Callithrix jacchus: one gene and its partner. The protein of the gene in region 1 purifies or fractionates together with the protein of each later gene. This does not show direct contact. Links are inferred from orthologs where the notes say so. Each region holds a gene or a part of one and is shown in the gene's direction. Other genes may lie near its edges.

What was found. The genes of interacting proteins can lie anywhere in the genome.
Region 2: the proteins of WDTC1 (region 1) and CUL4A purify together in Homo sapiens (affinity purification with mass spectrometry; 10 studies listed by BioGRID and IntAct, counting the BioPlex papers as one, with this or other methods). This does not show direct contact. The link is inferred for Callithrix jacchus from reciprocal best matches to the Homo sapiens genes WDTC1 and CUL4A.

The regions. Positions count from the first base shown.
Region 1 is NC_133508.1:63,901,949-63,910,395, forward strand, and holds the start of WDTC1 (WD and tetratricopeptide repeats protein 1), read left to right. Parts: upstream 1-2,861; 5' UTR 2,862-2,893; exon of another isoform or gene 2,894-3,056; intron 3,057-3,066; exon of another isoform or gene 3,067-3,387; intron 3,388-3,978; exon of another isoform or gene 3,979-4,175; intron 4,176-8,447. UniProt on the Homo sapiens protein: May function as a substrate receptor for CUL4-DDB1 E3 ubiquitin-protein ligase complex.
Region 2 is NC_133502.1:28,717,277-28,724,232, forward strand, and holds part of CUL4A (cullin-4A), read left to right. Parts: intron 1-3,409; coding exon 3,410-3,562; intron 3,563-5,775; coding exon 5,776-5,871; 3' UTR 5,872-6,956. UniProt on the Homo sapiens protein: Core component of multiple cullin-RING-based E3 ubiquitin-protein ligase complexes which mediate the ubiquitination of target proteins. As a scaffold protein may contribute to catalysis through positioning of the substrate and the ubiquitin-conjugating enzyme.

The DNA.
Region 1 (8,447 bases):
TTTTTGTAGAGACAGGGTTTTGCCATATTGCCCAGGCTGGTTTGGAACCAAAATGTTAGGATTACAGGTGTGAGCCACCATGCCTGGCCAAATCTTTGTTTCTTTTATGTAAAATGGGAGTAAGAATCATACCTAACTCATAATGTGGTTGGGAGAATCAAATGAGTTAGTGTGTGTGAGTGTATATGTGTATGTGTACACAAATGTATGTATAGATTTATGTATAAGTCTCTGCTTATACGGAGAGGGAGGAAGAGAGGAGAGAAACTCAAGCAAGTGTAAGAGTACAAGTGAGTACCTAGTAGAAAATAATAAACAGTAGCTGCAGTTGTTAATAGTCTTCTTCCTTACGAGCGAGGTGGCTCATGCCTGTAATCCCAGCACTTTGGGAGGCCGAGGCAAGTAGATCACCTGAGGTCAGGAGTTCAAGACCAGCCTGACCCCAATATGGCGAAACCCCATCTTTACTAAAAATACAAAAATTAGGTGGGTGTCGTGGCCTGTGCCTGTAGTACCAGCTACTTGGGAGGCTGAGGCAGGAGAATCACTTGAACCCAGCAGGCAGAGGTTTCAGTGAGGCGAGATCACGCCACTGTACTCCAGCCTGGGCAACAGAGTGAGACTCCGTCTCAAAAAAAAGTCTTCTTCCTGTCATCACTCTCTACCAACAAAAGTTCATTCTAACAACAATTATTTACTGAGTTTCTGCTATGTGCCATAGACTGTGCTAGGAGTCACAGAAACATCACCCACTCTTCTCTGTCGGTATATCTAAGATCATCTGTGACCTTATTAGCATTAAACAAGGGTCTAAAATGGGGTTTCTCTGCCACAACTAAAACAGGATGCTAAAATAATTTTGAAATGGGGGTTCTGGATTTGAATAGTCTAGGCTTTAATCCCAACTGTACCACTTCCTTGCTTTGTGATTGTGGGAGTCTTCCTTCCCCTCCTTTCCCTTTCCTTCTTCCTTCCTTCCTTCCTTCATTTTTTTTTTTTTTTTTTTTTGAGACAGAGTCTCATTCTGTTGCCCAGGCTGGAGTGCAGTGGCGAAATCTCAGGCTCACTACAGCCTCTGCCTCCTGGGTTCAAGCGATTCTCCTGCCTCAGCCTCCTGAGTAGCTGGGATTATAGACATACACCACCACACCCGGCTACTTTTTGTGTTTTTAGTGGAGATGGGGTTTCACCATGTTGGTCAGGCTGCTCTTGAACTCCTGACCTCGTGATCTGCCCACCTTGGCCTCCCAAAGTGCTGGGATTACAGGTGTGAGCCACCATGCATGGCTGGGAGTGTTTCTAAATCCACTAGTAAGTATTTATCTCTCATGGTAAGTATTCAATAAACATTAGCTATTATTTAATTAACCCAATGACCCTAACCAAGGTTGCAGCCTGAACCCAGAGAGCTACAGATAGATGATCTAAAAGCTTTTTTCTAGTCCCAAGGTCTATGATTTTTTTATATTCAGTGGAACAGCTGTGGGGGAGAGGTTAGGAGGAATGGCCCACAACATTTTTAGGAGAAAGGCATAAAAGCTTTTTGTGAGCTGATTTCACAAGGGTAGGTTCTTCTTCTTACTTTTTTTTCTTATTTTTTTCTTTTTACTTTTTTTTCAGTTCTTACTCCTCTAAATGAGAGATAAATCACAGTTTAGATTTACTCCTCTAAATGGGGAGAAATCTCCCTTAGGGAGAAATCACCAGCAACTAGAATACTACCTTGGTTTCTGGGAGTATTCAGGTATTCACAGACAAATTCATACTCATGATATGAGCAGAATTGGAAAAAAACAAGAAACACATGGAGTAATAAACACTATAAATGCCAAATACATATATTCAGTCCTTACTGAGAGCAGGTGCTGTCTGGTTTTCACAGGAAAGACAGGCAGTGTTCAAAGGCTCAGACTCTGAAGTCAGGCAGATCTGGGTCTGATTCCCAATTTGTCTCCTTATCAGGACCCCGGAGGCAAGTTGCTTTTAAGCTTTCTGTTTTAGCTTCTTTCCTTTTCCGCAAAACACAGACAGCAATAGTACCTAACTAGAGGACTGTGCCCAATCCAGCGAGAATAAAAGTGAATTGTTGTTATTATCTGACAAATGGCACCCTGTGAGTGAGTGACAAGCTTCCCTTGTCAGAAGGTGATGACACGTGTCTTCCCTTTCTGACTTGAGGTTTCATGGGTGGGGCCTGGTCTCTGCCTTAAGAAGATAGGCTTAGTGCTACCCTGGTCACCTTGGGTACTTCCTTAATAAAGAGGAGGGTGTCTCCTCTATCATACCTAGGACTCCACAAAGCTGGAACTGCGTTTCTTCCTCAGAGGTGGGAGCAGCAGTGTCTCCGACAGCGTCAGATGGACCTAGTCTTTCCCTCCACCCCGGGGGCACCCAGAGAGTGTGTGGCTGCCAGGCTATTCAGCGTAGGACCGATTCTCTTTCATCCTCTTTCTTAAGGCCCAGGAGACGCGAGTGAGGACTCTGCGACTTCAGCAGCGCCCCCAGAGCAGGAAGCAGTGGGCTGAGGCTCGATTCTGGAGAACCCCGGGGCCCTAGCCTGAGAGGTCCCACGATTCGGGGGCTCAGAGGAAGTCTTAAGGAGCTCTTAAGGGGCTGTGCGGGGGCCTGGGGACCAGTGGGCGAGCATGTGAGTGGGTGTCCCAGAAGCGGTGTGAGGAGTGTTTCACCCGGTTGTGGGGTGGGAGGTGCGTCCGGGTAACTAATGGCAACCGGGTAGGATGAGCCCGCTCAGCAGGAACTCCTCGACGGCGAAAAACTACGATTCCCAGGGTGCCCCGGGGCTTAGCCCAGCTTTCCCGCCCGCCCACTGGCTGTCGGTCCCGCGAGCCGCGAAGCCCATTGGCCACGGCGGTGAGGGGCTCCCCGCTAGCAGGTTAGTGGGCGCCGCCGGCAGCAGACGTTGACCGGGTGCGGGTCGGGGGGGCCGGGTTAGTGGGGGGGCCAGGCTAGCCATTCTGGAAGCTGCCGGGCGCCGTCTCCGTAGCGTAGCCGCCGGCTGTGAGGCGCGGGGCGGAGGCGGAGACTGCGTGGCGCAGGCGCGTTGCTGGGCTTCTCCTGGGTCCCCAGACAGCTGGAGGAGATAAACAGAGGAGGAGGAGGAGGGAGGGGAGTGCGTGTGTGAGAGCGCGCGAGGGAGTGTGAGTGCGTGTGAGCGCGGGTGTGAGGCGGTGCGCAGGGGCGGGCGGAGGCGCTGTCTGGCCCCGGCCAGGCGCCGGGCGGGGAGCATGGGAAGGGGCTAGAGCTGCTCGGGCCCTCCAGCCCCCTCCCCGGGATCCGCGTCCCCCCTCCCGGGAGAGGGGCCGCCCCCCGGACGGACATGGGCTCCTGAAGTTGCGCCGCCGCTGGTCGGGGGAAGAGACCTGACAGGTACGGGTCGCCACCGCCGCCGCCGCCGCCCCCTGCTCTCCGCTGGCGCCGAGGCGGGGACCGGCTCCCGCAGCCCCGGCGCACTGGCCGCTCTCTCTGGGCCGGCTCCAGCCCTACCGGCCTGGGGGCCTGCGCCTGCCCGCCTTGGGGCCCCGGGTATCCCGAGAGGGACCAGGCCTCGCCGGGGCGGAGGGCAGAGTGGGCCAGGGGCGGGGTGGGGGCGGAGGGCTGGTCGGGACGCAGGTGGAGACTGTGGGAGTTCTCTGGCGAGGGAGAGGTGGAAGTCGTTCCATCATGGGACTTTTTTGCGGAGTTTTTGTTTGACATCTGATCTGGCGCCGGAGTCAGGAAGAAGGGGCAGGTGTAAGTGCCGGGAGGGCAGCGCCGGCCGACCTGCTCTCTTAGTTTCTCTCTCTCTCTCTCCCTCCCTCCCTCTCTTCTCTTCTCTTCTCTTTCTCTCTCTCTCTCCCTCCCTCCCTCCCTCCGTCCCTCCCTCTCTCCTCTCTCTCTCTCTCTCTCTCTCTCTCTCTCTCTCTCTCTCTCTGCCCCCCTCTCCCTCTCTGTGTGTGTGTGTGTGTGTGTCCACCGCAGATGCCTTCAGTGGCCCATCCTGGCATCAAACTGAACTCTGCCAAGGTGTTTCCACAAGGCGATTGTAGCACTCCGTATACAAAGGGCCTCTGCTTGGGAATGGGCTATTCAGTACCCACTTCAAAGGGTAAATAGGAAGTGAGGAGATACAAGAGACTGCGAACCAGCAGGATCCAATTCTTGGACTGAAAGCCGCAGTGAGACACCCCCTTGCCAGCCTGGTTGACTTTACTTGGTGCCTTGTGCTCTCTCTCCTCTGCGTGTGTACTCCCATGGTTTCTAGAGAAGAGTACAGGGGCCTATGACTAATATCTAACAGCCGAATTTGACTGTTTCCCCCAAAGTTCTTTTCTTCTGTGACTTTAACCTCCTGAAGTAGTGGTAGAACAGCATTATAGTTTTTCTCTCAAGTTGGTGACTTTAGGAGCCTGGTAGGGTGGTTGATGCTTCTTCATTCTTTCCAAGGATGGGGTAATGATCTAGGTAAAGTGGCAGTGAAATCTTCTCTTTTTAACAAAGCCTGACCGTTTTGAGAAGAAAACTATTTTGAGGGCAGCTTCTGACTCAAAGAATATGAAATCTCCACCTAGTACACTGGTATGCCCAGTGGTCTGTACTAAGCTTTTTTGTGTCTTTTAGAGTCGGTGAGTGGCCAGCCTCTGCTCACTGTACTGAAGGAACTACTTAATGCTATTTCTGTCTTGAGTTCTGGCTTATTCTTCCATGTGATTCTTATATCTTTAGCGGGATTGAATTGAATTTTTGCTGTTGAGTGTAACAACCGTAACAGACCAGGGAGTGACTATTGGGGCTCCTTTGGGCCAAGTCTGAGACTTACTGAGATTTCTTCATTGCAGGTTGTTGTATTTCATTGGCAGGTAAGAAACGACCTTTTCTGTCACAGTTTGTGATCCTGCTGCTTTAAGTCTGGAGTCCTGCTCTCCTTTCCTTTTTTGACCTATGTAAGAGCACTTATGTTTAAGTCTTACCTTGATTTGACGAAACAGTGCTTTTAGATCAACTCTGCAGAATAATTGAGCAGCAGTCCATATTTCTGCCCGGGACACCTTCCCTGCCTGGCACGAGGGAAAGGGAGAACACATGTAAAGAGTATGATGATGATGATTATTATTATTATGTTAATGGCTATTTACCAGTTTCATACAATTGGCAGTTTTTCTAGCTGGGAGGAGTTCAGTATTGACTCATTGGGCATCTTATGTAGGGTATTTTTTGCACACCTGGACTTTAGGATCTGGAAACACAACTGAAAATCTTGAAGTTCACTGCCAGACATTTGTGGATCTTGAGGGGCCAATTGCTAAGGAAGATCTCGACTATAACTCATTCTTTAATTATTTTCTTTTCTCTCCTTTTATTTTTTGAGATGGTGTCTCACTCTGTTGCCCAGGCTGGTCTTGAACTCCTGAGCTCAAGGGATTCTCATGTCTCTGCCTCCCTAGTAGTGGGACTACAGACACAGCCACCATGACTAGCTCTCATTTCTCCTTTTAAATTAAGGAATGTGGCTCACATGTGTAGTTCTGAGTCTTAGAGGGGAAGTCAAACAGAACATGTAACCTGGTGATACTTGTCTTTTCTTTGGGTCACTGGTTTAATTGTCTGTCCTGTTTCCTTTCTTCTTTCTTCCTCACCTTTCCAGATGCTCCACTGCATCTTTAGGCTGCCATTGCAGATTCCTGGACCCACAAAACCCTTCGGTTGTGCTGTCTTAGCTATCATCTCTTCAGAAGCCAAAGTTCTGGCTGTTGCCATCAGAAACCAGTTCCTTGGTGTTATGTTTAATTTGAGAGTTATTTGCCAGTTGGGATATGTCCTAAAAAGTGACTGACATTTTATTCGGGGCCTGGTGTATCTTGGGCTCAGTGCTAGTTAGTATTTTTACTTTATCCAGGGTAAACTTCATGCCTGTCCTGTGAGGTGAGAATCATTTTCCCTGTGAAGAAACAGATTCAGAGAGATTAAGTAATTTGCCTAAGGTCACACAGCTAGTAAGAGGAAGGATTGGAATTCAAACCCAAGTCTATCTGCTCTATGATACTGAATTGCCTTGGGGACTGTGACACTGAGGAAGAACTGAAAGGACCAAGGGTAAGAGCCTGGGGGAAAATGATACCTCATTCAAATACTTGAAGAATTGTCACGGGGAAAGGAAACTGGATGTTCTCTGTGATTCTAGAAGGAGTCACAGGATTAAATGGCATAAATTCCAAAACAGTAGACTTTGGTTTGATAGGAAAAAATGTAGCTTTCTAAAAAGAAAATTGGCTGCCTTGTGAGGGAGTCAGTTACCCATTGTTGCAGATATTCAAGCAGAGGGCTTGCCACATCTTTTAAAACATTTTTTAAAATTTTTATTTTATTGAGACAGAGTCTCACTCTATTGCCCAGGCTGAAGTGCAGTGGCGTGATCTCGGCTCACTGCAACCTCTGCCTCCTGGGTTCAAGCAATTCTTCTGCCTCAGCCTCCTGAGTAACTGGGACTACAGGCATGCGCTACCATGCCTGGCTAATTTTTGTATATTTAGTAGAGATGTGGTTTCACCATATTGGCCAGGCTGGTCTCAAACTCTTGACCTCATGATCTGCCTGCCTTGGTCTCCCAAAGTACTGGGATTACAGGCATGAGCCACCACACCCACCCTTTTTTTTTTTTTTTTGAGACAGAGTTTCACTTCGTCACCCAGGCTGTGGTACAGTGGCCTGATCTCAGCTCACTGCAATCTCTGCCTCTTGGGTTCAAATGATTCTCATGCTTCAGCCTCCTGAGTAGCTGGAATTACAGGCATGTACCACCACGCCTAGCTAATTTTTGTAGTTTTGTAGAGACAAGGTTTCACCATCTTGGCCAGACTGGTCTTGAACTCCTAACCTCAGATAATCCACCTGCCTCCACCTCCCAGAGTGCTGAGATTATAGATGTGAATCACTGAGCCCAGCCCTGGCTAATTTTTTGTGTTTTTAGTAGAGACAGTGTTTTGCCATATTTCCCAGGCTGGTCTGGAACTCCTGAGGTCCACCTGCCTTATCCTCCCAAAGTACTAGGATTATAGGTATGAGCCACTACTCCCGGCTTTTTTTTTTTTTTTTTTTTTTTTGAGACAGGGTCTCACTCTGTTGGCCAGGCTGGAGTTCAGTAGTGCAGTCCTGACTCACTGCAACCACTGCCTCCTGGGCTCAAGTGACCCTCCTGCCTCAATGTCCCGAGTAGATGGGAATACAGGTGCATGCCATCACACCTTGCTATTTTTTTTTTATTTAAAGACAGGGTTTCACCATGTTGGTCAGGCTGGTCTTGAACTCCCGACTTCAGGTGATCTACCCGCCTTGGCCTCCAAAGTGCTTGGATTACAGGCGTGAGCCACTGCACCCGGCCACTAATTTTTAAATTTTTTTGTAGAGACGGGGTTTCACTGTGTTGCTCAGGCTGCTCTCAAACTCCTGGGATCAAGCAATCTGCCCACCTTGGCCTCCCAAAGTTCTGAGATTACAGGTGTGAGCCACCATGTCCAGCCTCCCTGTCTGTCTGATCTGTAAAAACTGACATGGCTGGGCACGGTGGCTCTACTCTACAAATGAGAAACTGAGACTCTAGAAAGTTAAGGAATAAGCTGGAGGTTACACAACTAGTAGTGATAGGGCTGATATTTGAACCCATGCCTGCTCCTTCTTAGCTCTGTGACCTAGGGTAAATCATTTATCCTCTCAAAGCTATAGTTTCACCTATGTTACAGTGGGTTCATGAGAACTAAATAATGAAATACATCCTTTTTACTAGACCTCATTGATTGCCCTCAAGAGCCAGGACTTGGGTGTAAAGGGGTACCACTTAGTTGGCTTCTTCTGGGTAAACTCAGGCCTAAGTGCAACCCTGAGAGTTCTGGGGCCCATTATTTGTGCTATTAGTAATAGTGCTGACTCCTTGAAGGGCTTTGTGGTGTTAGTGACTAATACCTTAAAAACTTTAAGCCTAGGCTGGGCTCAGGTGGCTCATGCCTGTAATCCCAGCACTTTGGAAGGCCGAGGTGGGTGGATCACAAGGTCAGGAGTTCGAGACCAGCCTGGCCAATATGGTGAAACCCCATCTCTACTATTTTAAAAATACAAAAAGTAGCTGGGCATGGTGGTGGGCACCTGTAGTCCCAGTTACTCAGGAGGCTGAAGCAGGAGAATCGCTTGAACCTGGGAGGCAGAAGTTGCAGTGAGCCAAGATCATGCCACTGCACTCCAGTCTGGGTGACAGAGCGAGACTCCATCACAAAACAAACAAACAAAAAAAAAACTTTAAGCCTGAATAAGGGGAGGATGCAGCCAAAAACCCAGAGCATAGGGGGAAGTGTCAGAGGCCCTATGCAAAGAAAATTCTCAGCTACTACTGCAGAGCCAGATTTGAGGGTCACCGTTGGCGTTTTTTATTTATTATCTTCTTTTAGGATGCAAGGTCACAA
Region 2 (6,956 bases), on another chromosome or scaffold:
TTGGGGGGAGTCTCACTCTGTCACCTAGGCTGGAGTGCAGTGGCGTGGTCTTGGCTCACCACTACCTCCATCTCCTGGGTTCAAGCAATTCTCCTATCTCAGCCTTCCAAATACCTGAGATTACAGGCACTTGCCACCACACTCAGCTAAGTTTTGTCTTTTTAGTAGAGATGGGGTTTCACCAGGTTGGCCAGGCTGGTCTTGAACCCCTGACGCCAGGTGAGCCACCCACCTCAGCCTCCCAAAGTGCTGAGATTATAGGTGTGAGCCACCATGCCCACCCTACTTTGTCATTTTTGACAGATGATTTTGTTGTTTTTAGTGGTTTTTTTTTTTTTTCACATAACAGTTTTTAAGTCCTCAAATATACTCTCCTTTTCTTTTACGGCTGTGACCTAACATGTCATATTGTATTAGGCTATTCTTGTGTTCTATAAGAACCCAAGACTGGGTAATTTATAAAGAAGAGAAGTGAGATGGGCTCCCAGTTCTGCAGGCTGCACCGGAAATATGGCACCAGCGTCACCTCAGCTTCTGGCAGGGCCTCAGGAAGTTTCCAGTCATGGCGGAAGGTGCAAGAGGAGCAGGCGGCTCACATGGCAAAAGCAGGAGCAGGAGCAGGGAGGGGCCTCACCTGTCTCATCACAAGCGGAGGGGCCCAAGCCATTCATGAGGGACGTACCACCCTGACCCAGTCACCTCCCACCAGGCCCCACCTCCAACACTGGAGACCACATTTCAGCCTAAGATTTGGAGGGTTCACATATTCAAAACTGTGTCACAAACCTAATAGAAAAGTTCGCTTAACCAGATTTTTAAAAAACATTCTATGCTGTTTTCTAGAAGTTTACATTTAAATGTTTCTTTGCATGACGTAGAAGTTATTTTACTATCTGAAACCAATCTAACCACTCACCCTTTCTAAAACCAAACTTAAGATATTATCCTTGGACAAGTTATTTGAATGATCACCTTATTATATATCAAATTCATATATTATAGGTCAGTTTCTCAATTCTCTTCCATAAGTTCTGTATCTCTTTCATAGCCATCCCTTTCCCCACCCCAAGTTTTTGGGGTGTGTGTGTGTGTGTGTGTTTGGTTTTGGGTTTTTTGTTTTTGCGATAGGGTCTGGCTGTGTCGTTCTGGTTGGAGTGCAGTGGTATGATCATAGCTCACTGCAGCCTCAACCATGTGGGCTCAAGAGATGCTCCCACCTCAGCTTCTGAAGTAGCTGGGACCGCAGGCGTGTGGCACCAAGCCTGGCTAATTTTTTGTATTTTTGTAGAGATGAGGTCTTGCCATATTACCTAGCTAGTCTTGAACTCCTAGGCTCAAGCAGTCCTCCTACGTTGACCACCCCCCCCCCCGAAGTGCGGAAGTGCTGGGATTACAGGCATGAGCCACCATGCCTGGCACCAGATTCTTTTAATAATGTAGCTATTCTTTTAGCTTTATTCTCCCAATGAACTTCACAATAATTGTATCATGTCTTTGCTCCCCTAAATAAGAACATTAACATTTTAAATACCTACTGCATTAATTTGCAGTTTTTCTTTATGTTACATGTTCTGATTCGTACATATGTGTATGTATAAAATGTATATGCAAACCTTTTCTCTTTCTCAGAGCTTTCTAGTTTTAGTCGTGCATATTTCTTGCTAGTTATAAATTTTAATTCGTTCAACAAATACTGAGCATCTGTGGTGAGCCAGGTCCTCTATGAAGCACTGAGAGTTCATTCATTAACAATAAAGAATAAGTCCTTGTTTCTGGGTGCGTTGAGTCTTTTCTGGCAGAGAGGTTGCAGAGGATCACACACATTGACTAACCTGTAAGAGTGGAGGAAAATGTTAGGGCAGAGAGGTGCAGCAGAGCCTAATCAAATACTAGGGTCAGCCAAGGCTTTCCTGAGAAATGACTGGTTTTGCTCAGGAACTGAAAGGCCTCTGGCTGCAGCAGCATTGCCAGAAGCGGAAGCTGAGTCAGACAGGTCTAACTAGGCAGCCATAGCTGGACCCTCTGGAGATGGCTCAGACCTGTGAAGCGTTTGGAAAACCATTAGTTTTAAGCAAGACAGGCGAATGAAATGTTGATCTCTTATAAAGCGGGTCTTTTTTCTTTATATTTCTGACAGTTTTTATCAGAATGTATATATTAATGCTATTTATTTATTTATTTTATTTCCAGCCACTTTACAAAACTCGTTTGCTTTGAAAGTTTTTCTGTTGATTTTCTTGGATTTTCCAGCTCATCTGTAAATAATGATCATTTTTTCTACACTTTTTCAATATACCTCTTTAGTCTGTTCTCGTATTGCGTAGTTAGAACCTTTAAAGTCACGTTTTTAAAGATTAGCAGTGCAACTAAGCTTCCTAATTTTATCTCTGGCTCAGAGAATATTAACTTTTGGGGGTCGTGGATCCTGTTGAAAATGTGATGAAAGCTTGGAGCCCGTCCTGTGCTGAAGCATACTTGCCTCACATGTATGCATAGACCTTCCGCCAACCCTGATTTCAGCTGCAGACCACAGCCCGTCAGGTTCCTATTTGACTGAGGTTAAGTTGCCTCTAGTAGTTGCTGTTTGTTTCTGATAACCACACTTCACGTTCAGATTCTGTCCTTTTTTATTCATCCTTGTAGGCTAATGTTTATTTTAAATCAAAAGTCAGTTTTCAATTTGCTCATGCCTTTTCCAGCATCTATCAAGATGGTCATATAATCTAACCTTTCAACTGTGACAGTGCCCTCACTTATATTCTCAGATTTCCTAATGTTGATCAGCGCTTACATTTCTGGAATATATCCTGATGGTCTTATGCTTTGTTTTGTTTACTGTGCTGCTAGTTTTAATCTACATCATATAAGAGTTGTTACAGCTTCTTTCAAGGAAAATATAACTTTTAAAAATATTTTCTAAGCTTCGGTTTGGGAGTTTTGCTATTCTGGGAAGGTACATTTTACTAGAACAAATAAACCTGCATAATAAAGTAGAATTCATCCAATATCTGACCTTTCTTTGCATCAGAAGAGCATTTCTCATCATATTTGGTAACATAAATCATTAATTTTGAAAATATAGGTTGGGTACAGTGGCTCACATCTGTAATCCCAGCACTTTGGGAGGCCGAGGAGGGCAGATCACCTGAGGTCAGAAGTTCATGACCAGCCTGGGCAGCATGGTGAAACTCCGTCTCTACAAAAATACAAAAAGTGGGCAGGCATGATGGTGGGTGCCTGTAGTCCTAGCTACTCAGGAGGCTGAGGCAGGAGAATTGCTTGATCCCGGGAGGCAGAGGTTGCACCATTTCACTCCAGTCTGGGCGACGGAGCAAGACTCCATCTCAAAAAAAAAAAAGAAAGAAAATATAGCTTTGCACTTAACTTTTTTTTTCTTTTTTTTTTACAGGTTGAGGAACAAGTTAGCACCACTGAGAGAGTGTTTCAGGATAGACAATATCAGATTGATGCTGCTATCGTCAGAATAATGAAGATGAGAAAGACCCTTGGTCATAATCTTCTAGTTTCTGAATTATATAATCAGCTGAAATTTCCAGTCAAGGTAAATGTAGCATTAGCATAATTAAATTTGTAGTATTATGCTAGGTAATTGACAAAGCGCGTTTAATTCTCACTGTTCAGTCATATGATTTGACCTGCATTATTTGTGATCATTTGTGTGTACACTGAATGTAGAAAGACTGGTGAATGTGAATACCCTTACTCCAGATGTCGTTCGTTGCCACTGTGGAAATAATAGTGTCCTAAAACTCTCCTTCCCAGGGATAGTGCGCTTGTTCATATTCTCAAGAAGGGGACAGGAAGATAAAACATGGAAAGCTCAACACTTTTCTTATAGTAGCAGCAGTCAAGGTTACATCACAAGATTGTAAGGAAATGGTGACAATAACTAATTTATTCAGCGAGTACAGGTTGCCCAGCATTTTCTACCACGGTAACAGTCCACTGTCGCTGTTGCTTACGAAAATGGCCCAGACCTGTCAATCTGCACTGTGTATTTAGAACAGAGATTTACTCTCCTGCCACATGTGGGATGCAGGATAAGCCAGAAAAGTACTACAAAATGTTTTTACCTGTATTTATCAACCTAGAAAATCCCAAACTCTGATGACACCTACCCCCTCAGGGACTGGATCAGCCACACGTGCTTTGGAGGGAAAGTCCCCAGATGCCACGTTGTGCAGTTTGACGCCCCCAGCAGAATAAAGTCTGGATACACTAAATAGTCAGACACGTAAGAGTGATGGAAGTGCCACTGTCCATCAGCCTGCGCTTGCCTCCTTCCCTGCAGGGGTGAGGCATCCTCAGGGTTCTGCGCAGCTTCGGAAGCACCGTCAGGGATGCTGCCCCTTCCTCCCACCAGCTGGAGCACATCTCCTGTTCCCACTCTGAACAGCCAGGCCCAGCATGAAGCAGAAGGCAGGCGAGGGCAGAATGTGGCCAACCAGGGCGCCTGCTGTGCTCTCACAGATAGTTAGGTTTTCAGCCACATCTTGTAAAATATGTGGCTTATCACTGAATAGAAGGTTATGTTTGTTTGGAAAATAGTGGGTCTCCCTTGTATAGGAGAACCTTGCACATAAGTGCTCACACAGATGTGCTTCCTCATACAGCAAAGCTGGAGTGGGCGCCCTCCTGGGCAGAGACAAGCATGGCTGTGGATTTGTCTAGTCAGTTACCTGCTTTTAGCACAGGAGCACCTGGGGTTGTAGTTTCACGTATGTAGACATAGCGTGTAATAACTATAGAAATACATAATAGAAATACAGCTGGGTGCGCTGGCTCACACCAGTGAGGTTGAGGCAGGCAGCTTGCTTGAGCCCAGCCTGGGCAACATAGTGAGACCCCCTTCACTACAAAAAATAAAATTAGCCAGGCATGGTGGTGTGCACCCGTGGCCCCAGCTACTGGGGAGGCTGAAATGGAGGATTGCTTGAGTCCAGGAGGTTGAGGCTGCAGTCAGCTGAGATGGCACCACTGCACTCCAGCCTGGGCAACAAAATGAGACTCTATCTCAAAATAAATAAATACATTAATAAAATAGGGTACTTAGGCAGAAGCATCCTGACAAAGGATAAAAATGCCCCAATAAGGCCAGGCGGCTCATGCTTAATCCCAGCACTTTGGGAGGCCGATGCAGGTAGATCACAAGGTCAGGAGTTCAAGACCAGCCTGGCCAACACAGTGAAACCCCATCTCTACTAAATATACAAAAAATAGGTGGGCATGGTGGCAGGCTCCTGTAATCCCACCTACTTGGGAGGCTGAGGCAGGAGAATCACTTGAACTCAGAGGTGGAGGTTGCAGTGAGCCATGATCGTGCCACTGCACGCTAGCCTGGGTGACAGAACCAGACTCTGTCTCAAAAAAAAAAAAATGCCCCAATAAAACATGATGAGATTTTTCCTTTCAAACAAACAAAAACGTGTCATGTGATGGGCTCTACCTTGCTTATGTCCTGTTTATGATGGTAGATGATATATGTATATTTCACAAGTTTCACATTTCCCTCAGGAAGGCACACTCTGACCATAAACTCACATGGACACATTTTTCATCTAGAGGTAACCTTAACTTTGAAATAGACAATTGTATTACTTTTATAAATGTGCATAATTATAAATGATTTATATATAAATGTCTATTTGTATATATATTTTAGTAATTACAATTATATACTTCCTGCATATACCCCTATGTTTGTAAATTTATTGCCACTATAATTAGGGAGATTGTTTTATTTTTCTTTTTTAGCCTGGAGATTTGAAAAAGAGAATTGAATCTCTGATAGACAGAGACTATATGGAGAGAGACAGAGACAATCCGAATCAGTACCACTACGTGGCCTGATGCATCTGCAGACAGTTCCCGTTCATGAAACACTAGAATGTACCCTCAGAGCAGGGAAGCACACCTGTGCCATTTCCAGGACTCTGTAATTGATCCCGCTGTGGACATTGAAAGAAAGAAGGAAAGTGACTCCTCCTGGGTCATCCTTCACAAGGCTCAAGACTTCAACTGGCAGATGTGTCTTTTTTTCCTCTGGTTTTTCCTCTAGTTCTTTTAGGCATTTAAATTGTTTCTGTTACTCTGCAAAACAACTTTGAGATTGGACAAGAAGATACTGCTAAAAAGAAGTTCCTTTAAAAGGTCTTGTTCTTGTGTCAAAAAGCTGAAAGTTTGTTCTTGTGTGATCATGAATGCACAATGAAGAAGACCCTAGATGCTGCATTTTTTAGCTCTAAAGATTCCCTAGGTACCCCTGAAGATAAGCTCGCTCAGATGATCGGCGTTTAGAGTGAAAACAAGGACCCTTTGTGGGTGAACATTAGGAAGGGCGAGGGTTCGAAGCTGGCAAGATGGATGGTGCATCCTAGCCACTGGCCCCTCTGTGTCATGTATTTCTAAAAGTTTTAAACTTCGATGGCTGGTTTTTTGCAAGTCCGGTTTCTAAGTGAGCTCCCTGAGGTGCCAAGGCCGTGGTGTCCACCCTGCTGCATCTTTTCGTTTCAGCTGAGTTGCTTGTGGATCTCTGTTTAAGGGTTTGGGGCTCGTGTGTTTGTTTCCACGCCAAGATTGAGTCTGGCGGTCCCTGTTTTGTTTTTGTTTTTTTGCATTGGGGTAACTGCTCTTTGATTTTTTTTAAATTTCAGTATTTGTATGATTGCAATCATTAAAAGTTTGGTTTGGTTTCACAGTCATGTGCAGGGACGATCCTTGTTCTCTGCTGTAAACTGTAAAAGTTTATGGAGACTTAGCCTTGATGTTGTGAAACAGAGGGTATTTTGTCAGAAGATTAAAGGGCTTTTGTGGGTACCTGGTTTTGTGTTGTGTATGTACATGAGGTTGAACAGTGAAATGGAAGTTCAGTAGTGATGGTAGAATGGTAACTGTGACAGATGCTTTTGAGATAACATTTAAAAGTACTTTATATT